Linked DNA regions of Rhinolophus ferrumequinum. The main gene of each other region encodes a partner of the protein of the gene in region 4 in a complex. Links are inferred from orthologs where the notes say so. Each region holds a gene or a part of one and is shown on either strand. Other genes may lie near its edges. The genes, in order: CETN3, CETN2, NUP85 and NUP214.

What was found.
Region 1: NUP214 (region 4) and CETN3 share a complex: the UniProt entries of both Homo sapiens proteins name them as parts of the nuclear pore complex. The link is inferred for Rhinolophus ferrumequinum from reciprocal best matches to the Homo sapiens genes NUP214 and CETN3.
Region 2: NUP214 (region 4) and CETN2 share a complex: the UniProt entries of both Homo sapiens proteins name them as parts of the nuclear pore complex. The link is inferred for Rhinolophus ferrumequinum from reciprocal best matches to the Homo sapiens genes NUP214 and CETN2.
Region 3: NUP214 (region 4) and NUP85 share a complex: the UniProt entries of both Homo sapiens proteins name them as parts of the nuclear pore complex. The link is inferred for Rhinolophus ferrumequinum from reciprocal best matches to the Homo sapiens genes NUP214 and NUP85.

What each region holds. Positions count from the first base shown.
Region 1 is NC_046290.1:59,221,836-59,228,979, forward strand, and holds the start of CETN3 (centrin-3), read right to left. Parts: upstream 3,020-7,144; 5' UTR 2,898-3,019; coding exon 2,881-2,897; intron 884-2,880; coding exon 748-883; intron 1-747. UniProt on the Homo sapiens protein: Plays a fundamental role in microtubule-organizing center structure and function. As a component of the TREX-2 complex, involved in the export of mRNAs to the cytoplasm through the nuclear pores.
Region 2 is NC_046284.1:7,308,803-7,315,863, forward strand, and holds the start of CETN2 (centrin-2), read left to right. Parts: upstream 1-4,059; 5' UTR 4,060-4,196; coding exon 4,197-4,199; intron 4,200-4,929; exon of another isoform or gene 4,930-5,027; intron 5,028-5,136; coding exon 5,137-5,295; intron 5,296-5,618; coding exon 5,619-5,747; intron 5,748-7,061. UniProt on the Homo sapiens protein: Plays a fundamental role in microtubule organizing center structure and function. Required for centriole duplication and correct spindle formation. Has a role in regulating cytokinesis and genome stability via cooperation with CALM1 and CCP110.
Region 3 is NC_046304.1:50,237,899-50,245,352, reverse strand, and holds the start of NUP85 (nuclear pore complex protein Nup85), read right to left. Parts: upstream 3,014-7,454; 5' UTR 2,742-3,013; coding exon 2,709-2,741; intron 1-2,708. UniProt on the Homo sapiens protein: Essential component of the nuclear pore complex (NPC) that seems to be required for NPC assembly and maintenance. As part of the NPC Nup107-160 subcomplex plays a role in RNA export and in tethering NUP96/Nup98 and NUP153 to the nucleus.
Region 4 is NC_046295.1:79,177,415-79,185,079, forward strand, and holds the start of NUP214 (nuclear pore complex protein Nup214), read left to right. Parts: upstream 1-4,646; 5' UTR 4,647-4,760; coding exon 4,761-4,805; intron 4,806-7,035; coding exon 7,036-7,231; intron 7,232-7,665. Other genes in the region: AIF1L (allograft inflammatory factor 1-like), read left to right, coding at 710-797. UniProt on the Homo sapiens protein: Part of the nuclear pore complex. Has a critical role in nucleocytoplasmic transport.

The DNA.
Region 1 (7,144 bases), on a different chromosome or scaffold from region 4:
TAGAAAGATGAATCTAATGGTAGTGTACAAGATGAACTAGAAATGGAGAAACCATTTAGGAAGCTCCAGGTATGAAATAAGATCCCAAACCAAGATAAAAACAGTGGCAACAAATGAAAGAGACATTATAAAAGAAAAACTTAAAAAAGCTGGAAAAAGAGCTAAAGAGCTACAAAAAAGGTTTTTCACTGTGCTGAGTGTCAGATCCATACTACCCAAACACTAATTTCCCGTTATCTTTATAAGTAATTCTAAGCCTTAAAGGAGACATTTTTCCCCATTTATCATTGGGTCAACATCACACATCATGTATGTTGTTTGCACCAGAGAAGGTAGGTTGAAACTGTTACGAAAATGTTCAAATTAAAAGATAAATAACACTCCCCCAACTGGAAAAAAGAACGTCTCAAAAAAAAAAGTGGGGAGAAGAATACAGTAAAAACGGCTTACATCCTGTAGTTTGAAAAAATTCAATTATGCAAATAAAAAAATAAGCCCCTCCATAGCAATATATTTTTCACATTTAAAATGCTATTCATTTTACCATGAAAAGGAGTTTATTTTAGAATATGTTAGAGTACTATTCAATTTTATTATAGCACTTAACTGTGAATGTTTAAAAGGGTTTCAAATTTCCAAAACAGTTTAGTTAAAATACTTATTTAGAAATGTATTTTTAACCAACTGTCAAAAATGCAAAGCATTTTTACAGAAAAAAATATACTACATTTTAAAGTATACTACTACCTTTAATTCATGATAATCTATTGCTTCATCTTTGTCGGTGTCAAATAGTTCAAAAGCATCTTTGATTTCTTGTTTCTGTTCTTCAGAGAGTTCTCTTCTTTTTTTCCTCTTTGTTTTGTCTACTACAAGTTCATTTCTATGAAATGAAAAGAATAAAGTTTAGTCCACTTAAATCCTATTTAGTGCACTTTATTTAGTCTATTTAAATCCTATTCTCCTAATGCCTGTAGATGATTAAGATTTCAAAAATGCAACCAAAAAATTTAACCAGTGAATAATTTTCTAAATTTCTTAAAAGATGTATCTGGAGACTGATAAAGTATCCTTACATGAGTCAAAGCCTTGATCATTGCATAGTTTGAGCTGCTATAAACTTGCACTTCCCCAAACTTATTAAAAAAAATTTTAATAATGCTACAGCTTATTAAAAAATAAAAAATGAGGACCTAACTTTCCTTCTTCCTAGCTTTGTATTTATTCCCACAAATGTTACTGTGGACAAAGCAAGAACTGTGAATAAGAAACATTCCTTTATGTCAGAAACCCCAACAAAAAAACAAATTTATTATAAAAAACATACTTATTATTCAAATCATTCTACAACATAAAGTGTTTTTTAAAAAAGAAAGTAAAATTTATAATTGACAATCACGATATACTTGGTTTACTTTTGATAGTGCTTATAATTGTTATCAAAATTACTATCAAAAAACGTGTAATTTATCAATTAACTTAAAAAGTCTTTTGGCATTGTAGGTTAGAAATGTTTTTAGATTACTCATTTCTAAGTTTGGCGCTTTATAATTTCTTCCACCGACATTAACAAATAAGTCAAAATATTGAGTCTAAAGATATCACTACTATTAAACTCCAAAAGTTACATAAAATTTGTGCTAATTCTACATAATAATATGAAGAGTCAATGGTCAAGTCTCACTTAACATGTAAATGTAGATTTAATTTCTCATAAACTCTGGAAAAAACTTTTAAAAGGAAATTTAAAAGCCAGAAATGTCTTCCTTAAGAGATGCCAATCAACCTAAGCGTTCTAAGTTTTCAAATGGGGCTGCAACACTTGTAGCAGTTTTAAAACAGAAAATTCTATAAAACTTTAAAATGTAAAACCCAGTTGATTTTATTAGAACACGTGATCTATTCGCATTTGAAGGTGTTCTCTGAAATCTATAAAAAGAAAAACAAAGGCAAGAGATGACTAGAAGAGGTAGGATAAAGCTGAAGATCTTTCACAAGAGCCCAGACTTCACACCAGCTTGAACATTACTGGAGTAATTTTCTTCCCACGATTCAAAGCTGCCAAGTCCACAATCGACAGACAACTGACCCCATCCAAAGATATACCACCATTATCCCATAGCAGAACACAACACCTTTTTAAGAGTGGTGTAACTATATAATTATTTTTAAGGTAAAACATCTCCAGATGTTGCCAAAAAAGGTATACACATTTTAAGAAAGGAAAAAAACTGTATTAAAATTGTAATACTCAATATATACCAATAACTGAACATAAATACAAGTCATGTGTATACATTTTTTGGCTCCCCAGTAGATGAGGCTAGGGGAGGGGGCAACCAACAGAGGATTACAAGGTGGAACTGAATGAAAGGTAAAGAAACTCAAGAAATGTAGGTAATTGGGGTCTCCAAATAACCGTAGATCAGGGCCCCAGGAGAAGAGCAAGAAGGAGTTTTGTTATTTCCAAAATATACATTATGTCAGGAGCAGTGCAGCTGAGGTGGGGGCCGTATACCAAGGAGGAACTGAAGGAAGAGATGCTCCAGGGCCTGATTTCTCGCAGAAACGCTAAAAACCTCGCGATATTTCCCTGCCTCCTTGGAACTAAAACAGCTGCCATCTCTTAGGCGGTCCAAAAGCCAAGGCGCTAACAGGTATGACCACGTCGGCAGAAATGCACTGGACTCATCACCTGCAGCACACCTGGGCTCGGAGGCTGAGGAGTCCGGGCCCGGGAAGGTTGGCCGAGGCTCCTTTCCCTCTTCCCAAATTGCAACCCCTTCCTCGCCTCGGCCCCAAACTGTTTCCCTTCCACACACACCCGCCCTGGGGCCCGCTGCGGGCTGTGGAGTGCATTCCCGCCTCCTCATTACCGACCTCAGAGCTAAACTCATTTTCTCTTCGGACAGAGACGTTCCTCTCAAGAACGACTTTAACCTCCTACCCAAAGAAGCACGACTTCCACAAGCTGTTCAACACACACCAACGACCTCAGCGGCCTTGAGGACCTCCCACAAGGTAGACACTTCCGAGCCGGATTGGTTGAAATTGCTAATGCCATGCCCATTGAGGTGGAGGCATCACTAGTCCTCTGCTCTCATTGGGCACATTCCGCGTCAATCAAATAAATCTCTCCGCGGGCCTCTCCAGCTGTTTCTTTCGCGCTTTAGATTGGCCCGTTGCGTTTTCCCCGAATCCTTTGCGGAGCGAGGATTTGAGTCCCTGCGTGGTGGTCCCGGGGATGGGTGGGTGGCCCTCACCTCGCGGGAGGTGGCCTTGGACTGTGGGCGATTGTCCGGAGACAAGACGGACAGCGACGAGGGAAGGAAAGGGTGGGAAGAGAAGAGACACGCTGCAGGCTGTCCTCTGGGAAGAGGTCTGCGAAAGTTAGTTCTTCTGTATTCCATAAACTTGGAAGGCCTAAGTACAGGAGTTTGTTTAAAACGCAAATTTAAATGCCCCTTACCCCCATTCTGATGCCAATGATTGTGAATCAGCTTTTTTTTTTTCCCCCTCTCTCCTTACAAACTATCCTAGTGATTCTGAGGCAGGTTCTATGGATTATATATATGTGAATAATCACTGTGTTGGATTATTAACCTGTTTACGGTGAAGCTGTATCTAAACACCCTTTTGCCCCCCTTCCTCCTTTGGACGGATTTGTTCACTTTTGCCCTTTATTTCCAGTGCTGTAAGCTGCTTGTACACGTTATCTCCCCTACCACACCAAGTCTCTCGAAGTTCACTTGGTATTTAATATGTTTAGTTGTTCATCTCTTATGCTGAATTTCTTGAAGGCCAGGATTATATCTTTCATTTAATGCTCTTCCCAGTGCCTAACAATGGGGCATACGTAGGTGCTCAATAAATACTTGCTCATTGAGTGGAGTCTTGCTGTGAAAACTCACAAAGTGCTGAACTAAATTACAAATCTCAAAGGAATAAAGAGCCTGAGGGTGAAGATCTAGCGGGGTGGGCGGTGGGAAAATATATAAACACCATGGTGTGCGTATAAAGTGATATGTATAAAGGTTTAGAGAAGGGAGAGAACAGGCAGGGTAGAAGAAAGACTTCTTGCAGATTACATATATATTAGGCCTAGGAAGATGAGCTAAATTGGAACAAGTAAAGATAGTATGATCGAATAAAGCTGAAAATAACTAAAGCATTTCCCTTCCTCCCCCCAAAAAAACAAAAGCAGAAAACTTTACATTTTAAAGTACCTTTATAAATCACCTTTGAGTTTAAAAGGAAAGTAAAATTGCAATTACAGATGATTCTCAACTTTTGATTGGGTTACATCCAGGTAAACCCATGGTAAATTGAAAGTATCGTTAAGTTGAAAATGCATTTAATACATGTAACCTACCGAACATCATAGCTTAGTCTGCTGTACATTAACTGTGCTCAGAACATGATATCCAAAAAAACACTGACAATGAAGTTCACTGTAGAGTATTAGTTGTTTACCCTCGTGATTCCCTGTCTGACTGGGAGCTGCAGAATTCTGCCAGTGTCCAGCCTCCTGACAGTATCATACTGCTTATAGGTTACCCTGGAAAAGGTCAAAATTTGAAGTATGGTTTCTACGGGATGCACATCACTTTTCACATCATCATAAAGTTTGAATATCCTGAATTGAAACATCTTAGTCATGGACCATCTCTACACACTAGAAGTTAATGACAATGAAAAAACTACATAGTAAAATTGTAAGGCATAGACCAAGCTGTAGAAGAAAATTATTAAATAAGAAAAATTGAAAATAAACCAGGTATTTATTTGAAGTAGTTAGAAGTGAAGAACAAAATCAACTACTTGAAATGAGAAGAAATTACTAAAGATAATGACAAACGAATTAGAACACAAATTTTAAAAAGACAATTGTTAATAAATGTGTAGGGTATTCTCATAACATGGTTCTTGGCAATACCAATAAAATTGACATTTATGGAAGTGTAACAATCAAGGGAATACTGCCATTAATAAGGTTGGTAGTTTAAAAGAGGTTTCAAAATTATTGAAATATTGCCAATAAATATTAATATCAAAATGAAAGTCACTTTTCAAGGAAAACAAAGATAAGGACTCAAAAAAAAAAAAAAAGACCAGAAAACTAAATTAAGTCAATAACTATAGATAAGACTGAAAAAATGATGCCAAAGTTCTGTACCACAAAATAAAAAGGCATCCATTGAACCCAGTCAGATTTATGGATAAGTTTTAAAAATCCTTGAAAAGCTGATTATTGTGCTTTAAACTCAAAGCATGATAGAAAGCATCTTAGCTTAATTTTTGAAGGTAGCATAACACTTAGCATCCTAAAAAGCATTTAAAATTACTGAATGTATGCTCCATGTTGAGAATGTGGGCATGTTGCCCACCATTGTATGTGCCTCGCTCATGTTTGATGTTAATTAGTGAACATATGTGTAAAAAATTCTAGATGTTGGCAAAAATCAATTTGGTATTGCCTTAAAGGAACTATAACCAAATAGGATGTATTTTTAAAATGCAAAGATAATTCAAAATAGAAGTCTATATTAATTAATCATAACTGTAGTTTAAGGAGATCATCTCAATGTCCTAAAAGGCACTAGAAATATTCAACATCTATTCCTAATAAAATGTATATTAATAAACCAGGTGTAGAAGGTACTTTGTTAAATTGAACAATATACTTAATAAAATGGTAGTGTTTCTCAGTTTTGATCCATGAAATACTAGAATTTTGTGAGATATAGTCATTTCATGAAGAATGGGTTTCATAAGAAAATAATTTAGGGAAACTGATTTTTAAATGTTAAACTAAAATGTTTTCAACAGGATTTCCTATTAGGGGAATGACTAAGAAGTGAACATGCATCACTTCTGCTCATATTTTATTAGTGAGATTTAGTGACCACTCCTTGCTATAAGGGAGACTGGGGAAAAAATTCTCTAGCTGTAAAACCATGTGCCCTGCTAAAATTTGTGGTCAGATCATCAATAACTAAAAATAAGATAGGATTAGCAGCTCTGCCACAGGCACTATTAAAGCAGTTATCAACACTATCTTTGAACTTCTAATCGATGATGTAATAAAACAAGAAAAAGATATGATATATAAAATTATGTGTGGGTGATATGATTACCTGGAAAAATCCAAGAGTATCAAACTATTGGAATTGATAAAAGAATTCAATAAAGTAGCTGTTTTCAGAAAAATTTGCAAAATCAGTGAGCATTTACATCATAAAATAATAGCAATATGAAATTCCTACATATAAATTTAACAGGAAATTTGTAGGATCAGTAGGTAGAAAAATCACAAAATTTTATTAGGTTGGTGCAAAAGTAATTGTGTTTTTTGCATTTATTATTAACCTTTTATACCACAATTACTTTTGCACCAACCTAATACTAAAGTACATGAGCTTTTAATAAATTAACCAAGAAGGTCCTAGTTAGGAAGATTTGATATTGTAAAAATGTTGATTATATCCTAGATTAATCTGTACATTTAATATAATTGAAATTAAAATTCTCACATTTTCTCTTAACAAATTTGTGTCTCCCCAAAATTCATATGTTGAATTTTGAACCTCCAATGTGACTGTATTTGGAGATAGGACTTTTAAAGAGGTAATTAAGTTTCATGAGGTCATAACCCAACAGAACTTATGTACTTAAAATAAGAGGTAGAAACACTAAGGAATGTGCGCACACAGAGTAAAAAGGCCATGTGAGGACACAGCAAGAAGGCAGCCATCTGCAAGACAAGGAGGGAGGCCTCCAGAGAAACTAACTCTGCTGGCACCTTGATCTTCAACTTCCAGCTTCCAGAACTGTAAATAAGTTTCTGTTGTTTAAGTCACCCAATCTGTGGTATTTTGTCATGGTAGTCCTAGAAGACTAATGCAATAAGAAAATATTAACAGATCCTACTAAAGGAGAATGAAACATTTCTGTATGGCAAAGACTACATTAAGCAAAGTAAACAAGCACACAAATTAAAAGAATGGGATTGGAGGTAAGGTAATTGCATAAAAAATTGTAGGGTCATCAATTTGTGATGGAGAACTGTATCTTCATATATTTCCAAAGTAACACCACACAGATGACTTTGTGGTCCCTAAAGGAAAATGGAATTTTGCTGCAG
Region 2 (7,061 bases), on a different chromosome or scaffold from region 4:
ACAACACGGATGAACCTTAAGGACATGACGCTATGGGACACGAGAACCTTGGGAAGATTATGCTAAGTGGACAAGCCAGACACAAAAGAACAAATACTGTACAATGAGTACTCAAATTCACAGACAGAAAGCAGCATGGTGGGTGCCAGTGGCGGGGGGAATCGGGGAGTGACTGCTTAGTAGCTATAGAGTTTCAGTTCTACAAGATGAAAAGAGTTCCGGAGATGGACAGTGGTGATGGTCGCACAACACTGTGAATCAACTTAATGCCACTGAACTATACACTTGAAAATGGCTAAAATGGCCAATTTTCAGTTCTGTCTATTTTACCACGCATACACTTAGAAGAACAGCTCTGGATGGAAAAATAAGACCCCAAAGAGCAATGTTCTAAGGACTGGGCTTGTTAAGGTTCACAAATCAGAAGCCTGAAGTCTTTCTCCTTTAAGACGGTAGGTCTTGGAATCCATTAAAAACCAGTAATGCATGCCCTCTTACACACACTGGGACAAAGTCTTAGGCGGAAAGGAATCTAGGAAAAGAGAACCACCTTCCACTGGTGAAATCCGAATGCCTCGCTCAACTTCTGGGCAAAAAGAGGAGGGCCGCTAACAGAATTCGATGAAGAGAGGAGCGAGTGAACCCAATCTCCTCCTTCCTGCTGGGAAAAGTTCCACATTACTGAGTCCCGGAGACAAAAGGAAGGGATAGTCTGTCCATTTCAAACCAGAGAGAGAAAGACGAGTGTTCCCTCCTTGTCTTTCACAGACCTGAGGTATGTGCAGGTTTCTGTCTATCATTTGTCTCTCTGCTTGTCTATTCGCTTGTATGACAAGTGACTTTGAATTTGTGGTGGCCACGGAGAAACCCATCAGCATGACTGTGAGCTTTAGCGTATACTGTTCCCTCCCCTCTCTGTGGTAAGACCTTTCTCATCCTTCAAGGCCTAGCTCCACTGTCACCTCCGTAAAACCTCCCCCCTCCAGGAAAGCTTAGCTACTTCCTTAGCACCTGTGTCTGCTCCCATTCTAGCACATCGCACAGGATTATACTTTTTTCCCCCCATATCTGTCTTGGCCCACTAGGCTGTGAGCGTCTGGAGTGCCAGCAAAGAATCGGGAATGGAATCTGGGTTGAACTGTGCTGCTGCGGCTGGTCTAAGAGGCTTCATCTGTAGAGCAGTAATCTCTCCTGCCGTCCTCAGAGCTGCTGTGGGGCCCAAACAAGCCCCACGGGTTAGAGCGGAGATGCAGCTTGTGAAAGAGCCTCAGGGTATCAGCTCGCTCATTCCTACATTCCATCATTCACAGGGCACCACAAGCCGGACACCGCCAAGCAGAACCTGCGTTAACACAGGGAGCTCGCCACCTAGCGTGGGAGACACACCTAGCAGAGCACTGTAGAAGTGCCCCTGAGCTCTGCTGAGGATAAACCCAGGTCAGGGAGCCTGTCCCAGAAGGCGATCCCTGAACTGAGCTCTCAAGGCCCCAGAGGAGTGAGTTAAGCGGAGAGGGTGGGTGCCCGGAAAACATTCCATGGCCCGGGGTGGGAAGGATGAGGTGACAGAGCACAGAGCCAGCATGTCTGGCAACTACGACAAGCTGTGTCATGGCAAGTGTGAAGCAAGATTGGGAGCAAAGTTGGGGAACACGCAGGGCTGTTTGTCAGGTTAAGGAGTTACCCAAGGAGGAGATGGGGAGCCCCTGGAAGTTGTAAGCAGCGTGAGTGAAGAGATCAGAAATATCCCTCTGGCTGCAGTGTGAAGGGATTTTAGCCATGGCTAAGCCTCCAGCCTCCAGGTAGGTGGAATGACAAGAACAAATCAGAGAAGAGAACTGATATTGCCTGAAAACCTGCTGTCAGGCCCTTGTACATATGACCATATTATACCATTAAGATCCAAAAAGTATCTAGTTAGGGAGACAGTAGTGGTCTCATTCAATAGAGTCTCAGAGAGGTCAACCAACTTGCCCAAAGTCACACAGCTCCTATAGGCCAAGGTAGAACTTGTGGTGGTTCCTTCTCCTCTGCCATGCTGCCACCTGCAGTCTGACTGGGAAGTAGGGTGTGGAGGGACACGATGTTAGAAGGACTAACGGGCAAAACAGGGCAGGCGGCTCGGATGCCAGGCTGAGTCTGGACTTTACTCTGTAGTCATGGGAAGCCACCGAAGGTTTAAAAGCATGGGGTGACCTGGCCAGAGCTGTTCACTGGGAAGATTAACCTGGCAAAGCAGGGAAGACTAGACAGGTGAGAAGCAGGAAACGGGGGGACTACTCACCAGTCTTTCAATTGAGATTTACTGAGCACCTAATATGTGCCCATCACTGTTGCTGGTCCTGGAGTGCTAGCAGTGAACAAAACAAAGATGTCTGCCCTTACTGAGCTTACCTTCTACTGGATGGACAATAAAGAACATAGCAAATAAGTAAAATATACCATAGGTTAGAAGGTGATAAGCACTATGGGGGAAAAAGCAGAGCAAGGTGGGTGGGGGCCTTGGGTGTGCTGGGGGCTGCAGTGCTAAATAGGCTGCTTAGGATGGCTCACTGAGCAAGGACCTGGTGCAGGGAAAGAGGTGGACCAAGCAGGCAGAAAAGGCACAGCCGGCGCAGAAGTTCTAAGATAGGAGTCTGCCTGTGCATTTGAGGCCCAGCAAGGAAGCCAATGTCCCGGGGCTGGAGGAGCCAGGGGAGACGTGGGGGCATGTCATACCAGGCCTTGCAGACCAAGGGGAGAACTTGAGCTTGAACTAGTTGGGAGTGGAGCAACAGAGGTGGAAAAGAAAATAAATGGCAGATAAGGGGGAGAACTGATAGAACTTGGAGGCTGGTTAATGGGGGAGGGAACAGAAAAAGAAAGGATCAAATATAACCAAAAGGTTTGGGACCTGGTTCGTGCTCGAAGGGGAAGAGGGCAAAGGGCAGAAGATCGGTGAACATTTTCATTTAAGGAATGCTAATAAACCTCAGGCCTTTCTTGGCCTGAGAAACTTATGCTGTGTCCCCTGCCTGCCTAAATACTGCCCCACTGCCCAGAGGGGAAGCAGGTAAATGCTGAGAGCCACAGAGCGCTCTTAGGCGGGGCGGACCTGGGCCTGCAGCTCCACTGCCGCAGCTCCATTTCAGCCCAAACCCTTGCACACGCCCCCTTGTAATTCTCCAAGCATGCCTCACACTTCCAAAACTCCTCTGCTACTTTGCTCATGAAGGTATCTCGGCCTGGAATGCCCTTCCTTTTCCGCCTTTGACTGGATGTCAGAGCATTTTGATGACCTCTCCCCCTCATGCTCACTCGTATCTCCTTCACTCCCTTCAAAGTCTATTCACCTTCCTGGGCTGCTTTTAGCTAGGGGAGAACTCAAATGATCCTCTCTTGGAACGTGGTCTGGGGGGCGGATGCTCTCAAAGGGACACCCTCAAAGAGCCACAGCTGGATTCAGCTTCTAAGTTTCAGCTGTCCGGACCTGTGCCACAATGCTTGCCATGTCCCTTTCCTTTTTCTGGGTCTCAGTCGCTCTGTGAGTAGCCGGCGCTCACCACCGCGGACACACTCCGCCGCCCATTGTTGCTACAGCCGACGTACACACACAACTCAGAGCAGTTCCCACCGACCCGCGCGGGCCGCCGCGCTCTCCATAGGTGACCTGTAAAGTTATGATCTTCTCTGACTCCTCTGAGTCCCTCTGACTCTAACTCAGTCTTAGGCCAGAGCAGAAAGCCCCGACCCGGATCGCCCCACCCAGCCCCTTGCCCTCCCGCCCAGTTGCCTACATAAGGCGGCCTCCAGGGGCTCGGAGGCGACACTTACCTGTCCCTAGATGTCCCACTGACCGGCCTCAGCGCGCCCGCAGCCAGCACCCGCCAAGCTCCCGCAGCTCGCCGCCCTTTTCTCCCCGCCCGCCTGAGCTGATGATCGCCCGACGGTCCTCCACTACCCCGACTGGCTCGGCTTGGCGTTGGCTCAGCCAATCAACTCTCGCGGCGCGATCCAGCCCAATGAGGCCAGGGCTCGGCTGCCTGAGCGCGCTCCCCGCCCTGATCCGGGCCTTTGTCGGTGTACTCCCACCCCCTCCAGCCCTGCGCCAATGGTGAGCGGCGGCAGCGAGCGGGTCAGTGCGCGCGGGTCGGTGGGAATTGCGCCCAGGCTGTGTGTACGTCTGTTGCCGTAACAACGGGCGGAGCAGTCTGTCGGCGATGGTGAGTGCCAGCTGCCCTGTCGCGCCCCTTGCCCAGAGGCCGAGCCCTTCTGACCCCGCCACCTCTCCTGCACCGTTCTCGGCTTTGGTGCGCCCCTGCTTCTATGATGTGTTTCCCGGAAGGGCTGGGAAGAGATGCCAGCCACCCTGCTGGGCCTGTGATTCGCCACTGCCTCCCCTGCACCCACAGCCGGCCCCCACCCGCCCTTCGGGCTCCCCTGGCCTTCCCTGCCCCCTCGGTTACCGGTTCCTGGGTGAAGAAGACTCAGGTTCCCCGCAGGGTCTGACCCCTCTCAGACCGTGGTCTCCTGGCCGCCTTGTGCGACCAAAGTTTCCGCACAATGCCGGGGGCGGGGGGGGGGGAGGTTTACGACGTTGGATTGTTAACTTGCATTTTAAATTTTAAGTATCGGGCCATTTGGGAGACGCATTGAGCTTTTTGGGGAAAGCACAGATGAGCCAAGTGGATTGAATTTTATTATTCGATATTGACAGAATATGCATCTTAATAACTTAGTAATATTTGGCTAAATCTAGAAGTAGTCACAAAGTCAGAATACTTAGAGGGAAGCGGAGTACCGCGAGTGGGCATTGTAAGGACATTTCTAGAATTAGGATCCCCAAATTCAGGGAGAGTTTATTATCTGTCCAGTTATTCATACTCCGCTCCTTGGCTAGCTAGCTCTCTTTACGGATGATTTCAATAAGGGATGTCCTTGTTTCTAGAAACAATATAAAGAAGAGGAAAGGGATAGAGCTACATGGAAAGATTCTTTGTTTTGCCCAGTAAACCCTACTATCTCTCCAGTTAAGCAAAGCTTCAGGATTGGTTGGTATAAACTATTTTTAAAACAGATATGGTTGTCTCTAACGATTTTATGCAAAATATGGACTGTGGTACATAATATGGTGCTTATGTGTTTGTAAAATGTCTAAAGGCCTCGAACTTTAAGAAGGCAAACATGGCATCAACTACCCAGCGAAAAAGGATGAGTCCTAAGCCAGAGCTTACTGAAGAGCAGACACAGGAAATCCGGGAAGCTTTTGATCTCTTCGATGCTGACGGAACTGGGACTATAGATATTAAGGAACTTAAGGCAAGCCCTGTGCAATCCTACTCGCTGCCTTGCCTTTCCTCTGCCTCTTTGGCTTTTTTCCCTGTCACTGCTCTACCCCTTCTGCCCTCTTCTCCCTGCAAAAAGTAACAAGGGGAGAATGTGCTGTGCTCTGTTTTCCTGTCTTTACTTACCCCAAGTGTTATTAAGTAAAATGAGTGCAAATATCAATTTGCTTAATGCTCCAGTGTTTCCCAATTATTTTCATGTGATTGTGTCAGGTGCTGGCTTAATGCTCTCAACATTCATTTTTGCTCCTGCTCGGTTTCGATGAGCATATTGAGATGATCCTCTTTTCATTGTAGGTGGCAATGAGGGCCCTGGGCTTCGAACCCAAGAAAGAGGAGATCAAGAAAATGATAAGTGAAATTGATAAGGAAGGGACAGGAAAAATGAACTTTAGTAAGTTTCTGACTGTGATGACTCAGAAAATGGTAAGTTAGCTAAGAAAATCAGCATATTTCCCACCCATAATGGACAAATTTGAATCTCGATATGAAAATGTCTTCATTGAAGGAAAGTTAATACAAACTAGAGAGTTCAGCTGATAAAAGATAGTATTTGTGACTGAGAATTAAGATGTTTTTGGTTCTGCTTGGCTTTCTTGAGGGCCACAAAATCACAGGAAAAGTAATTTTACCCTCTGTAAAGTAGTGAACGTATACTGCTGTCACATTTTTGCTATTGTCTTTCCCCAACTGAATTGTCAATGTGATAACCACAAGCAGTAAAACCTATACACGCCAACAGCATTACAGTGTCTCGCATTTTGATAAGACAAAGTTCCTATATTTTAAAGTTTGAAATTCTTTTCTTTCCCATTTGTTATTCTGGGCAGCCTTAGCTTGAGGATGTGTAACTTCAGCAACCATGCTTTTAGGCTGCGCTGGGGATTTGATCTTTCAGCACTTCCAAGGTTAAGTTTACCCATTCTCTAGTGTCTCCGGTGTCCCTCTTTTAAAGGGTCCAAAGGGTCAAGACAGACTATAAGATGTCACCCCAGCAGCCCACCTCACTGCCCTGTCATCCCACCCAGGAAGTATGTTTCCATTGGGCCATTGCTCTTTCTTTGGCCTCCTGGCTCTTCCTCAGTGTGGCTCACCTGTGCTCCACTGGTCTGTCGAGACAGATACTGAGTAGTAACTCCATCAGTGTCTCAGGTGTGTTTCACAGGGCACAGATCGGTTCCTACTCTAATAACTCTGTTGCTTTGAAATCATCTAATTATACCTATATTTTTCTTCATGGACTAACTTAAGAGATCAGAAAGCTTAACATTCTGTCACTACCTAGTAAAGCTGTCCCACATTCAAGGGTGTTCCCGAATTGCTCTTATTAGGGGTTCTCTCTATCTTTAGCTACCTTTCAGGAATATTGGGAGTTTGAGCTTTTAGCGATTTTCCTCTCTTCCTCTGTTGGAGGACTTGGGATCCCAGTAACGCTATATGATCTCATCACAAGTAAAACAGCCTTCTCTTTGCTTCTTGACCCCTCCACCAAGAGGATCCCTCTTCCATCAGCTTAAGGAGTATATTCTCCCCGATGTGAACTCCACCTTCTTCTGTATTTTAAAAACGAATCCAGTTTCTCTTTGGTTTGTACAGAAAGAATGATGTTTGATCTCCTGTGACCTAGGACCTCTGTCATAAAGACCACCACCATGACCACGTAATGATGTAGGGGCAAGGCAGAGAGGCTAGGCGCTGTGGGGCTACAGGACTAGTCACTGCGGTGTTTCCCTACTCATA
Region 3 (7,454 bases), on a different chromosome or scaffold from region 4:
TTTAGGCAGACAACGAATTTGGCTGGCAATAGTCTCGTCAATAGTCTTGTCTCAAGACAAGTTAAGTGCATTCAGTTCTTAGGAAAGGCTAACGCGGTCATTCAACAACTAAGCAATGTGTATTAAGCCTTTTTCTGTGCTGGGCTCTAGGAATACAACAATGTGTACCACAGTCTGTGTCCTCCAAAAGCTAGTGGTCTCCTGACGGAGACCAATAAACAAACAGGCAGTCAGAAAAGGGGAAGTATGCTAAGTCTGAGGTACACACAGAACAGAATCTGTTTTAGCAGACTCGTATTGGATGAGTAGGGCGGGCAAGGAGGAAGCATTATTTGTACATAATGGTGCTGGAACAAATGGGTATCCATATGCAAAAATGAACCTCACACCATAGACAAAAATTCACTAAAAATTAGTCACAGACTCAAATGTAGAGCAAAATCTATAAAACTTGAAAAACATAGTAGAAAATCTTTCTGACCTGAAAGTAAGCAAAGATGTATATAGGACACAAAAAGCATAAGCTATAGCATAAGAAAAATGTATAAACTGCACTTCAACAAAATTAAAATTTTTGCTCTTCATAAGATACTGTTAAGAAAATGAAAAGGCAAGCCGTAGACTGGGAGAAAATATGTGCAAAACACGTATTTGATATCCAGAATATATAAAGAATTCTTACATTTCATTAGTGAAACAACCCAGTAACAAAATGGGCAAAAGATTTTTAACACACACTTCACCAAAGAAGATATACAAATGACATATAAGCCCGTGAAAAGATACTCATTAGGGAAATACAAATGAAAATAACGAGCTACCACTAAATACCCACTGGAATGGAAATGAAAATTAAAAAGACTGATCATACAAAGAATTGATGAGGATGAGAAACAACTGGAACTCTCAGACTTTGCTGCTGCAAAAAGAACTGTACAACCACTTTGGAAAACTGAGCTTATTTTAGCTAAATATGCATCTGTCCTATAACCCAGCAATTCTCCTTTTAGGTATGTATCTGGAATTAAACAAAACAAAAAAGACAATGAAAACTGTAACTTACACTTTTTAAGAGCTCTTGAACCAAAAGGAAAAGAAGACCAGTGGTCTAGAAAAACTACTCAAGATTATTCTACCTACTTTGAATCTACATTTAAATATCCTCGAATCTGCCAGTTACTAACTGGACTTCAGGTGCCTTGACAATAGGGAGCAGTTGTGTGAAAAGCGGATACAACTGCCATAAAGGGTGACTTAATGGTATTCACAATTATTCATCAGTCTCTTGAGAATGTGTTTAGAGTAAACCCCAAAGGCAGATGAACACTCAAAAACAGACATGACAGCGTTTAAACTCGCAGAGGTGAGCTTCAGACTCTGGACTACAATGCCCCTCCTGTGTGTGCCCATGAGGCCAACCAGTTTTCTACCTGGTCTCCCCAGCACGAATATAGAGCTGGGGTTATCACAAGTCCATCATCACTACTGGGTATAAAAATAAGTAAGCTGAGATCATCTTCATTCCATCTGTAATGAAGCTCTTTATCAAGGCACAGTATCAAAGCAGTGGCTCTCCAGGGCACCACAGGGTACTAGGAAGGCTCCCCCGACCCAAGGAGTCTAACACAAGTGAGAGAGGGAAAGTTTGAAAAAGTTCCAGTGACTCTGATGTTCTAATTTGTCTTCCCACAAACACTGACACAGTCCTTGATGGATAGTTAATATTTAAAGTACTCTGTATAGGTATTAAATTGGAACATTCTACAGCAGTAAGCTTTAAAGAGCATAACAACCCATGTTAATTGCTATTTAAGATCTCATGCCTCCTTTTGTCCAGTCAGCTTTGAAATGACCCCTATTTTCAATTTTTTGTATTGTCGGACACTGCTTTGCAATCTGATGTCTTTGGCTAAAAACTGTAGGCATCTCAACTATCTAGAAAGCAAAAGCACAAGGTATAGCAACTTTCAGTTTAGTGGGGCTTCCAGAGCTAAGACGTGCAGAAGCAGCCCACAATGGGTAGAGGTGTCGGACGTAGTTAGGGAGGTTAGGGAAGGCTTTCCTAAGACACAAGCTGCCGGAGCTTGCATTTAAAAAACGAGCTGGAGATGAGAGAAGAAACGAGCATTCCAGGCAGGGGGAACGGTAGGTATTTTATATCTACAGGCTATGAATTTCTTTTAAAATCCTGGATCTGCAGCAGTTGACATACTGTCTTCAGAGTTCAGATCAAATTGAAAGCAAAATATAAAAAGGAGATAGTCCCCCGAGAGAATAAATTCGTTTAGTAAACCTTAGGCAAGCGCAGCACAAGCAGAAGCCAAGCTCACGGCGCTGCGATGTGAAGCTAAGTTCGGCTGGAAGGAAAAAAGCCCCAATTCTTCTGCCGAGTCCAAGCGCGCTCTTTAGAGCATTAGCCCAACGAGAAAAGCGAGCGGAATAGAAAGGCGCAAAGACGAGGGAGGGAGAGGGACGGAGTGAGGCCTCTGGGGCCAGGTATTCTGAGCATACGAAGCAGCAGAAACCCAGCGACCACTGCGATCCAAACACGGGCAGCTAATTAATGTGACCTCCGGATGGTGGCAACTGAGCTGAGAGAAGGGGGCGGGCGCCTCCCGGGAGGCAGGGAGGTAGACAAGCCTGCAGTGATGAAGCAGACTCAATCCTTGGGCCGCGAGGGCAAACCAGGCTCTTTGGGGCGCCCTTACAGTGACTGTCGGCTCGCCATCGAGCTCCTCCATAGCGCCGCAGCTCAGCTGCCGGGAGGTCGCGAGGCCAGCACAGCTCCCGGCTCGGGCCTCCCGCTCAGAGCCGCTGCAAGAGAGGACCCGACCCGAGCCCCCTCCTGCACTGCCTGCAGGCCCAGATCACCAACGCTGCAGGGGCGTCTCCTCTCGGCCACGGCCACCCCTCTACGGCACTCTACTCGTGTTCTTCCTTCGCGGCCTCGACAACACGTCAGGGAAACCGGCGCCAGGGGCAGCCGATCCTCAGAGGAACCTTCTCGCCAGATCAGGCGCCGCCGGGGACAGCCCCACGCGGGGCGGGGAGAAAGCCCCTGGAGACGGCGGGAGCGGTGGCGGGGCGGCTGCGCGTGCGCGGGCTGGGGTGGCCACTCTGCGTGGAGAGGCGGCGGGGGCCGGGCTCGAGCGAGCGTACCGCCTGTCCCCACTCTGGCTTTCCTTGCGGCTTCTGAGTCTGCAGCTCAGTGTTGTCTCGGCCGCTTCTGTGAGCGGTGTCCAGGGCAAGGGATCCCCGGTCTATCGGGCTTGTGGACGGAGGCAGTCGCTGCCAACTCCCACCCCAAAACGCTCAAGCAGCACGCGGACAAAAGTGATGCAGCCCGACAACTGTGAAATCGGGACAGCTGGGCTTGCTTAACTCAACACAAATACTGGTTTGTTATCTCACCAAAGAAAAGCAGGAAAAGGAAAAAAAACCACAGTCAGAGAATCCCGGTCTTGTTAATGGGAAACTCATTTAAGTTACTAGTGCTCTAGTAACTTAAAGGAGTTATTTATTTTGTAAATGCCATATTTACAAATACGTACACACACACACACACACACAGAAGAGAATAGTGCTGGTTTTACATTCCCAAATAAGCACTTTTTTTTTTTTAACTAACTGAAGATAATTCGAAATTAAAAAATAAGTCTTAGGAAACAGTGCCTGAAAATGTAACAGCTTCTTTTTTTGGGGAAAGATACTTGATCTGAAAATCAAGTTTCAGTTTTTTACCCGGGGAAACAGTTCTTTCCCTGAGATTACTCTGAATGACCTATTTGAATTGGTTGAAATGAGATGACTTGGAGTGGTTAGGAAAATCTCACACCAACAGTTTTTTCTATTTAGGTACAAATTCAGGAAGGAAAATCCTGTGGCTATCACAATTTCATCCAAATCCTTATCTCTTAAGACAGCCATCAATAGGATGACATTTAATGTAGTTTTGCACAAAACTCCACACTTCTACCATCTATAGCTTGGTGCATTTTCCAAATGTTTCACATTTTCACTGATCCAAGTGTTCTGGCACCAATAGTGTGGCTATGAAGTATGAGAAATTATGCATTTATGTCCCTATCCTTAAGAGGTAAAAAGAGGCCTAATATTTTACAAAAGTAAAATAAACAGTAGCAAATAGATCAGTTTAAAAAAACTAGTTATTATATCTGCTCTGGCGACTCAAAATTATTTGAGCAGCAGAAGTTAAAGCAAAGCTTAAGACACTGATAGAAAATATGCCTAATTTCCTTCAGAGAAAATTATTAATTATTCTGGGGAACAGGATGAGTAGAAGGAAAGGAAAAAAATAATAGGATGAAAGACCAAAAAGAAAAACCATCTTCTCTAAAGGAGACCTGAGAAAAAAATAATTTGAACAACAAAGGAGCTTAGAAAATTTTAGTAGTATAGTTTTTTGATATTTTAAGACTGACATAATGTCATTTGAAGATAACAGAAGTATTGAAACTGACCTAGCGATAGATAATATTGGAAAAAAGTATTGAAACTATTCTTTGTTCTAATACCATTATATACAAGCAACCTTACACAATCATTCAAATACATTCATTAATTGGGGAAAAAAAGAAAACTACAGCTAATAGAGTTATTATTCTATACATAGATCATTTTCTTCCTTCTGGTCCTTCTCAATAGTCTTCCAAGAATGGGGTTTCAATGAAGTAGTTTATCCTTTTTTTTTTTTTTTTTTTTTTTTTTAACAGATGAGCCTAAAGGAATACATTTGGGAAAAAAAAAAATAACCAGTACACAAATCTTTTTCTCTTAACCTCTTCACAAGCTCCTTCTCTCCCCCTTTATCCCCCTCCTTTCACTCTCCCTCCTCCTCTCCCTAGAGTGGTTGTTTAACTCTGGAATTCCTGTATCTACTCTGGAGAGTCTTCAATCATGCAGGAGACACTTCAACTTGAGGTATATCAGAACCCTAGGAAGACAGAAAGAGTATAATATTTCTGGAATCAAAAATCTCCTAAAACAAAACATACCTATCGCACAAGAGTCAAACTAGAACTTACTTTAAATCACTCCAAAGTCAAACTTAGAATCATTCTCAGATGAAGCCAGAGGAACTGTGCTAGAGATATGCCATATGTAAAGTGCTAATTGGATGCATTTAATTCATTCTAGTAGAACCAATGCTCCGTAGCCTGCAGAGAAATAAATACATAATCATTTCAAGAGACATAATAAGTTTGGAAAACAAGGTAGAAATCTATTATCAGGAGCCATAGAAATATTTATGCACTTTGATCCAGTAAGTCCTCACTTGAACTTTTATTTCTAATAATTTCAAAACACAAAAGGTATGTGAATTTTGGTAAGTGCTATATAGATAACAACAAAATTTCTCAAATCCCACCCTATTGACGTTTTGGGCCTGATAATTCTATATTGTGAGCTGTCCTGTGCCTTACAGGATGTTTTGCAGAATCCCTGGCCTCTGTCCACTAGATACCATTCATACCTTTTAATGATTGTTGACAACCAAAAATGTCTCTAGATATTCCCAGTATCCCCTAGGGGTAAAATCACCCGTGCTAAGAACTGTCATAGATGTTCATCCATTGAGGAATAGAGGAAGACAATATATCAGTGAGATATTCACCTATTGAGAAGAACTATGAAGACTGATAAGAATATGGGAAAGTCTTTCAAGAAATTTTAAAATGTTCACCTTTTTGTCTCCATAATTGTATTTTTAGGAAATAAGAGGGACATTTTGAATAACCAAAAAACAAAGTCTCACAGCAATCATTAAAATTAATGTGCAATCATTAAAAGATAACTGTAGCAAAATTTTATAAAGGTAAAATGTAGTAAAATTTTGTTAAAAGTTTTATCAATTTTGTAAAAAATAATATGTAGAGAAAAAGATTGGCAGAAATGAGTATTATTACTCTTAAAATCAGAAAAAGTAGGCATGTTTACCACATAATTTTCAGTTTTTAAGAGCAAACGAAAAATTGTATATTTCGACAATTAATGTAAAGAAATTTACGTGTGGATAAAAGTTAGAAAATAAAATTGAGACAGGTGTTATGGGAATATGAAGTAAAAATTTTTATTTAAAAAATGTTTCATTGAAGTTTTTAATACATATAGAGATACTACATAAGACCATGTTTGTGAAAACCTGCTTTATAGTCCTACTAATGTATATCTGGCCACATGAGACTTCAAGTTGAGAAATATGTGACATATTTCTTATTGAAGGTGTAAAAGCTGCTCTAGCCTTGTGGTTTTCAAACTTTAGGGAACTTCATAATTATCTAGAGGGCTTGTTAAACCATTAATTGAGTGATTCCTGGGCTCTGTCCCCAGAGCTTCTAATTCAGTAGGTTGGGGTGGGGCTCAGGTATTTGTCCTCCTGACCTTTCTAAGTGGAAGTGATATTGCCCAAGGGACCATCCTTTAAGAACCATCCTTCCAACTCTATCTTTTCTACCTCAGTGGGGAGTAATCAATCACAAGAACTTGAAGAGTGCAAATATTATCTATATTTGGCACAGCTGCAGAATATAAGCTTAGTTCAGTTTGTTCTCATTCATTCTATGAAACAAACATCCTTGAGTCACTGAGACCTACTTGAATCTAGTAATGGACAGAGAAGTAAGATTGGAGCATTAATGGGGTTAGAAGAACTTGAAATCATCATTCCAATGTAAAGACTACATAACTAACAGGAATTCAGAAACCCTAATTTAGGCATTTTTGGCATTCTCATGATAAGGACTATGTTACTATTGCATCAATAAGTCAGTGAACTCTTATTGATCACCAGCTCTCGGGACTTAGTTATTTGCTGAGATTATGAAGATGAAAAACAATAATCCCTGCTCTCAAAAAGTTTAAAGGACCCTTCTGTAAGTATGTGCAATGTGTACATTCAATGAATGTATGGTATTGTGAAATGGGATGATACTTCCCTACATTTTATACACCAGCTGACACATTTCAAATGTGTTCATACGTTTCATACCAGGTTCTTGGCTTTGACTGCTGGCAGAAACTTGGGCCCCATCTTCTTTGCCATGACCCAGCAATAGAAAGCTGGAAGGTTTCTACGACATCACCATTCTGCCTCCAGATTTCTTGCTGTACTCAGGAATTCAGTATTCCATATTCCTGCAGTATTCACAGAGACAGCTCAAGTTCTCAGCTTACTTTAGATAGAACCTGAAGGAAATTTGATAAACTACCCACAGTTTAGACATCTGTGTTATAGATTCAGTTCATGTGTTTCTCGGGGATTTTTGACAAGGATTTCAAGTTCTAAACAGATTCAGTGATTCTTGTTTTCCTGTACCTTTTAAGAATGATGTTTTTTCTTTGACACCTGACCCTGAGGAGTACATTCTGGATGATTCACCCTATTCTTACTCTCTACTTGTAACACGTTATTGATATTTTATTAGATTTCTAGA
Region 4 (7,665 bases):
AGGGAGCTGGAGGTGCAAATCTGGATCTCAGAGATAAGCTGTTTGTGGACTGTCACCCTTTGGATGGGATGTAAAGCCAATGACTGGAAGAGCCCACCCAGGGAGTGACTACAGATGGAGTAGGGCACTGATGCTTGGAGCAGCTCCCGACGTCAACACTTCGGGCACCCCCACTTCCGGATGGAAACACAGCATCCGTGGGGTTAAGTGTCTTCCTGGAGTCACGAGCTGGGACGGTAGCTGGGCTGGGACTCCAATCCAGGCTGTTTCCCTCCAGAGGCTGCACCATAAACCCCTGTGCCCTACACCCCCCGACTTGACCCTCGGAGCAGTGGGAGGTTTTGAAGCTCCAAAGGGGTTGTGAGCAGAGCCGTGGCCCAGCCTAGCTCTGCCTCCTCCAGGCAGCGTGGTTAGGGGAAGGTGCATGGCCTGGAAGTCAGAGATCTAGGCTCTCATCCTGCTTGGACTGCTTGTGGCTCTGAGGAGTCATGTCGCCACTTTGCGCCATTTTCTCCTCTGTCAAATGGGACTAGGAGTCCCTTCCATGCAGCTGCCATCCTAGGCTTCCGAGAAGATCCTGCTGGAGAATGGATGAAGGGCATTCTGCTGAGGACTTTGCGGACGTGAGGGCTGGGTGAGCTTTCCCTGGGTGAGGGGAGGAATCCTAATCTTGTTTCGTTTTGTGTTTTTTTTTCCATCTCTAAACCAGAGTCATGATGTTTGAAGGAAAGGCCACCGAGAGCAGTCCCAAGCCAGTCGGTCCCCCTCCAGAGAGAGACATTGCCAGCCTGCCCTGAGGACCCCGCGGGGACCTGTCCCTGCCCTCCCTGCCCCACCCCTCCCTCCTGATCTTGCTGCACTTCTGGACTCATTGCAATGTCTTTTTTTTTTTCCTGGTTGTTGGGCATGATTGTTTTTTCATCTGCAGAATCTGATCTCTTTGTAAAGCACAAATGATCTGCCTTAAAGGGGCTCTGGGGCCCCTCCCTCTCTTCTTCCCTCCTTCCCCACTCCCTGTGCAGAAGGGCTGACATCAAACCAAAAACCGGAAGTGGCGGGGCCAGGGCAGGGAAGCTGGAAGCCTGTGATCCCCACACTTGGAGCCGGCATTGTCCATCCTTGCTGGAGGTCACTGAGCTAAGTCCAGGCTCGCTGGCCTGGCTCTGGTGAGGACCTCAGCCCACTTTCAGAAGACCCTGGAGTAGGGACGAGGCTGCAGGGCCTCACTAGGGTTTCCTCAGATGCTCTGAAGTTCCGGTGCTCTCAGGTTGTCCAGGACGTGGCCACTCACTGCCCCAGCTGATCCCCGCTCGGGCCACACTTCTTCTCGCCCTTAATGAGGTGCAGAAGGAGACAAGGAGAGGGGCTTGGTAATTGGAGACCCTCAAGAAGGTTCTGGAAGGAATCTTCTGGCCTTACCCCTTGTCCACACCTTCATAGACAGCTCAGAGGGAGCCCTGTCCCTTGCTGGGGCAGCAGAGGGCTTCAGAGGTAGAGGGGAGGCCAGGGGCCTTGGGGAGCGGGGTTCAGCTCAGTCTAGTCCCACCTTTTAGGAGGATGCTGAGGGCAACAGGCTAGGGGAATGAGGAATAAAATGTTCACGGCAAAAAGTCAGCACCACTGTTAAGCCAAGAACTGAGACACAGGAGGTTGCCTTTCTGATCCCAGTCTGCTTGAAAACCGACTGCTTCCCCCACGACCTGCCCAACTTACTCAGACCATTCATTTACTCAGTCATTCAACAGATATTTATTGACCATCTATTATAAGCTTTAAGGCCGGCCCCCTCCACTTTGTCCTGACATGTGCTGTGTCCACTGTCTCTAACTCATTTCCCCATTTCCAAATCGCCCAAAACCCTTGAGCATGGGGATTCCATTGGGGTCACCTGTGTCCCTTATTATGGACTCACAGGGTCTTAGAGGTCTGATCCCCCTGTAGGTTAGCTGGGCCAGTCCTCACATTTCACAGGTAAGGAAACTGTGGTGGCCCCCAGGGATTAAGTGCCTGGCCCAAGGTTAGGAGTTAATCGAGATGGAAGAGTCTGGACTGAAGCCCAGGTGTTCAGATGGCCTGCCCGTGCATCACCTCTGCTCGGGGCTGCTTCCGTCAGTGAGGAAAACAAGGGAAGGGGCAGGGCGAGGCTATTTCCTAGGACAGCACTTGGGGCGGGGCCTGGGCCAGGACTCACCTTTTCCAGTGCCTCTGAGTTAGCAGCAGGATCAGGGGACAGGCCAGGCCTGCCTCTGCGGTTCCGCCTTCCCCAGGGCTTCTGAGCTAAGCCACTTCTCAGAACTCACGCAGGAAGCTGTCACACTCGGCCCCATCTTGGCTGAGCAGGGACCCCAGCCTTGACCGCACCTGTGTTCTGGAGCCCCTTACCCTGCCTGCTCAGGACTTAGAAGCAATCATCAGTTGGACATATTTGTTAAGCACCTGCTATGGGCCGAGAGCTAAGAACCCAGTCATGAAATAGACAGTTACGTGAAATTTAAGAGCCTAGTGAGGAAGTCAGACTCGGACAAGGACGAGTTAGATGAAAGGAAAGGGGGGCCATGGGGTGACTGCACTGCAATCCTGGGGAGACCAAGATGGGCTCAAGACTGAGCAAGAGCCTTGCAAAAGCATTTGCCAAACCTTAAGTGGAAATGTCTGGGTACTGTTAGAGCCACGGTGGGCTCTCTGTGGCTCCTCAGTGACCCACAATCAAAGACCCAAGGAGCTGCCTTACAGCAGCTTAAGGGAGTGGAGCAGGTCGGGGATGGGGTAAGGGCCAGGCTGGGATAATTTGCTGGTCTCAACCAGTTCAGGAGCAAGACTACCTGGCCGTGGCTGGTTGGTCCTTAGGCTAAGGAGCTGCTCAAATGCACAGGCCTAGTTGAAGTTTAAACCCCAGCAAAACAGTTTTCCCTGTAAATGTAAAATCTCACCCCACCCCCTTCCCTGCCTTGGTTTTTTTCCACCCGAGATCATTATTTGAGCAACTGCCTGTCCCCACCCCTTCCCACTACGTCTCCTCTCTAGGACACGACGAGACCTTTGAGCAAGGTCAAGTCTTGACTCCCCGTCACATCGTCAGTGTACTTGGTCCTCACTCAGAGAGGAGGGCACAACCAACCAGGCTTATTTTCCACAGGTTCCCCAGTTTACAAGGCCATGGGAAGCCTTAAGGGGGAGCGAGTGGGTGTGTCCCCAGCTTCTGGAAAGAGCAGGACAGAGCGTTCATTGGATAGGAGTATCCTGGGACACCACACAAGTTCCTTTGCCATTTCTTGGAACTCAGCTGGTGGAGGGAGAGGGGCTTGAGTGGTTTCTGGAAAGGGGGGGGCGCTGCATATATTTCAGGTTGTGGCTGTTGGCCCTGGGACTCTTACTTCTCTGGCTAAGGGCTCATTTTCTTAGAATTTCAGCTATCTCTCTGAAAGACCAAATCTAACTAATGTAACCAGAAACTTGGGGATTGCCAAGTGTGGCTTTGTCCCTGCAACTCAAAAGGAAGGAGTGTGTGGGGCAAGTTCAAGTGGATGCAGTATGTGTGCGCGTGCGTATGAGAGTGTGTGGTGCCAGATACCATCTCTGCACACTGGGAATAAAACAGACAAACTGTCAATGTCTTGATTGGTGTATTTGGGGGAGGGGTTCTGGGACTCAGCAAATTCAGGAAAGCTACCTGATAAAGTACCATTGAACGAATGCGTCCTGTGTAGCAGGCTCTGTTAAGCTCTAACTTCATTTACTTCTCACGACCACCCCACGAGACAGGTTGTTTGTCATCCTCGTTTTACAAATGAGAAGCAGCCTTGAAGCAGATGCGCAATTTGCTGAAAACCAAACAGTCCGTGGCAGACTATGGCCCCTACTTCAAGTTAAGCACCTCTGTCCTAGAGCATTTAAGATATAAATCCACTGCAGCAATGCGTACATAACAGTCATCAGTGAGCACCCAGACAAGCTGAATTCTAATCCAGCCTCCACCGCTTTGCGACCACGGGGCGCGGGGTGGTTTTCTTACGTTCCCTGCTGCTTCGTCCCCTCGTCAGTTAAACGGCAGTAATAACTCCTGGGGGACCAGGACGTCTTCAAGAGTAAAGAACACATCCAAAGTGTGTTGCGCTTTCCAGGCTCTTGCTTCGGAAATGATTACCTTGACAGGAATAAACAAAGACGACCTCTGGTGCCTTTTAACCTCCCCTTTTTCAGCGTTCGTGCTTAGACGCAGAAGTCTCCCGTGGCGAGGCCCCAACCCACGCACTTTCTGAACCCCTTTTCCTCCACAACCCCCTCCAAAGCCTCTCTCAAGAGCTTCCCCTGGAAATATTTATCAAGTCCCAACTTCTCTGAATCAAGAACTATTAATCGCCACCTCCATCCCAAGGTTACTGTGGGGTCTCCACGGAACACTGAGCGTGGAGCGCTCAAGCATGCGCAGTCCGATGGAAAAAAACCCAACACCAAGCAAACTCGTTCTGGTTGCGGACGCGGGGGGCGGGGCCTGGACGCTCCAGGGCGCAGGCGCGCGGGCCGAGCCGGCCAATGGGAGGCGGCGGCCTCGGGAGCGCGCGACTTCATATACTCCCTCAGCCTCCTCGACCCGCAACGCCCACCGAAATGCGTGACGCCATTTACGCGCGCCGGAAGTTCGGGCCTCGCTGCGCGCCGCTAGCGCTGAAGGAAGGAAGTTGGCGTTGGAGCGGCCTGGGCTGTGTGGGCAAGGCCGCGGGCAGCTGCGGCTGCTGCTACGACCAGCTGAGTCCGGCGCGATGGGAGACGAGATGGATGCCATGATCCCCGAGCGGGAGATGAAGGTCAGATACTGGCCGGGGCCTTCGCGTTGCCTTGGAGCCCCGCTGAACGGCGAAGCGCGGGTGCCGGCTGCCCCGCCTCCCGCTTGAACTTTCCCGGCGTTCAGAGTTCTCACCTACGCGTCCTGGAGCACTCTGCGGTGCCGCCGGCGTGTTCGCCCCGCCGAGTGCAGTGTCCCCTTCCCTGGGTGGTCTTGTGCGCTCCACCTCAGTTTCTCTAGCTACTTTAATATGGTGGTCGGAGTAGCGGTAATAATTGCTGTTTATTGAGCGTTTACTGTGAGCCAGGCACTGGGGTAATCACACAGCAACCCTACGAAATAGTTAATATAAAGATGCAAGTCAAGGTTCGGAAGGTAACTTACCCAAAATCGCATTTGACGAGGAGGCTGTAATGCAGGTGTGTTTTGTAAGACCCTCTCTTCACTCTCATTGTCTTACTTCTGTAAGGTTCTCCGGGCTTGTCTGATGCAGAGCCGGGGTTCATCACCTATCCTACAAAATCTAGTTCGTTAGAATAGGAGGACTGTTCTGGTACTGGAAGTCTGCTTGAAGTCGGGAAACTAAGGAGAGGGGCACGTGATCCCAATGATGTGATGGTTACAAGCACCTGAAAGGGAGTAAGTTGCGGAAGATGTTAGGCATTCGAACAGCAAATCACTGAAATACGTTTAGAGAGTAGTGACTCTCTCTTCCTTCTTGAGAATCACTGCCTGAGTGAACCACCCAATGAGAAGGTGCCGTATTCCTCAGACACGCTGGGGCTGAAGGAAAAAAGGTTTTAGAACCACAGACTTAGAAGATGGTAGTGTCCCTTTAAGTTGCTGATTACAACAGAAAGGAGAGCACTCTGGTGCCTTTTCATCTCACTGGCCCTCCACCCCATGTGACCAAGACCCAAATAGGATATTTGGGATTATCAGGATGAGAGTCACAAAAACAGACCGAAAAATTTTATTTTACTTCTGTTTGAAACCATAGATAGTATGGTTTCACCTGGAAAACTATGTGTGTGTTTTTGATCATCGTGCTCAGTTGGAATTAAGAGTATTTCAGTTAATCTTTTAGCAAATGTGCATTAAACATCGAATCCATTGGAAATTTGTATGGGGTGTGTTAGGGATCCTGTATGAAACACCGTAAGTGTACAAAAGTGAAAGCTGATAATGGCTCTCTTTCGCTTTTACAGTTTTGGAATGTAAGCAAAAGGGGATTTGCAGTCTTTTCACCCAAACCTCAACTTAAGGATAGGTATATAATTGAAGAAAAAAAATTCAACCACATATAGCACACCTTAACATAGTGATTTGGTAAACTTACGGAACTCTTTTTTTACCAAGAGGTTCTGCGCGCTGAAAATTGTCTTTGGAAGCATGTAGATAAATTCATGGAAGACTACGCGAGTCGGGCATTGACAGGAGGTTGGGGAATGTTCCCAGGCCCTGAGTTACTAAGGAGCCTGAAAATGGAAGGAAATGAAAACTGGATAGACATGGGGCCGGGAGGTGGCAGTGGATGTGGCAGAGGTGATGTCGCACGCACTTGCAGAAGGGAAGCAGTGTTGTAAGGTGAGGCTCCAGAGGCGGATGGGTCAAGTCGGCCTTACAGCCTGTGTTAAGGATTTTGCACCTGTGTGTAAATGTCCTCATGGCATCCAGGTGTGTTTTCAGGTCTTGAACACCAAGAGATTGACCATGCATATCCTTTTTGTGTTTAACATTTGATGCAGGTAGGTCATTTCTTGGGATTCGGTTATCTTTCTGTGGTCATTGTTTACACACACACACACACACATTTGTTGAGTACTGCAGTAGAAGTTTGAGCCTACAGTGTAGTTGGATGATGCTTTGAATATTTAACAGCTTTTAAAGCACTACTCGGTCATGAGACAATACATACCATGAACTAAGACAAGGTAGTAAATAACAAAGTGCAGCTTGGATGGTGGTTAAGACAATAAACTAGGAATTCAGAAAAGGACAAGGTCACCGTGAGTTGAATTAGTCAAGGATAGAATCTTTAGAAATTTATTCCATTGAATAAATATTAATAAGCGCTATGCCACGTACCACAATACGCATGGGCAGCTTATAAATGGCTTGGTCATACAGTCCTTGGTCTCGGGAATAGGTGTTTTGGTTGTACTGGAATTGGATCTACTGTAATATGATGACAGACATGATTTAACTTCCTGTTTTCCCTGAACTGATCTTGTTTTGATCCCTCACAACAGGATTTTCAGTTTAGAGCACTGAAAAAAGTGAGAATCTTTGACTCCCCTGAGGAGTTGCCCAAGGAGCGCTGCAGTCTGCTTGCCCTGTCCAACAAGTATGGCCTGGTCTTCGCTGGAGGAGCCAGTGGGTTGCAAGTTTTTACTACTAAAAATCTTCTTATTCAAAATAAACCTGGAGACGATCCCAATAAGATAGGTAAGTTACTTGCTTTATGTTGCATAGTAGAGAGAGGAGTATAATGAAGTGCTAACGTAGTTTCCTTCCCGAGAAATCATTCTAATATTAAAGTTAAAACTGCTGCCAGTCCTGAGGTTGACCCCCAAGAAGAGTAAGTTCTAGGTCGGAGGCTGGAAGCCTGTCTGGTTGTTCTCTTTAGTCCTTTGTATTTCTCTTTCAATGAGTTGTTCCTCTGACCTCAGAGGGAAGGAGAATGGACCATTCTGCCATGTATTTATTTTTGCTCAGTTGAACTTGGGTTCCCTGGCTCTCTAAGGGAAGGGTTTTGGGGCACGGCCTTTTCGTTGGCTCAACACTACCATCTAAACAAATAGGAACGTGTATTATTGGGAGCATTGTTGCCAAAATATGGGTGCATGTTGGCAATATTGTGATTTACAAGAAACACATAT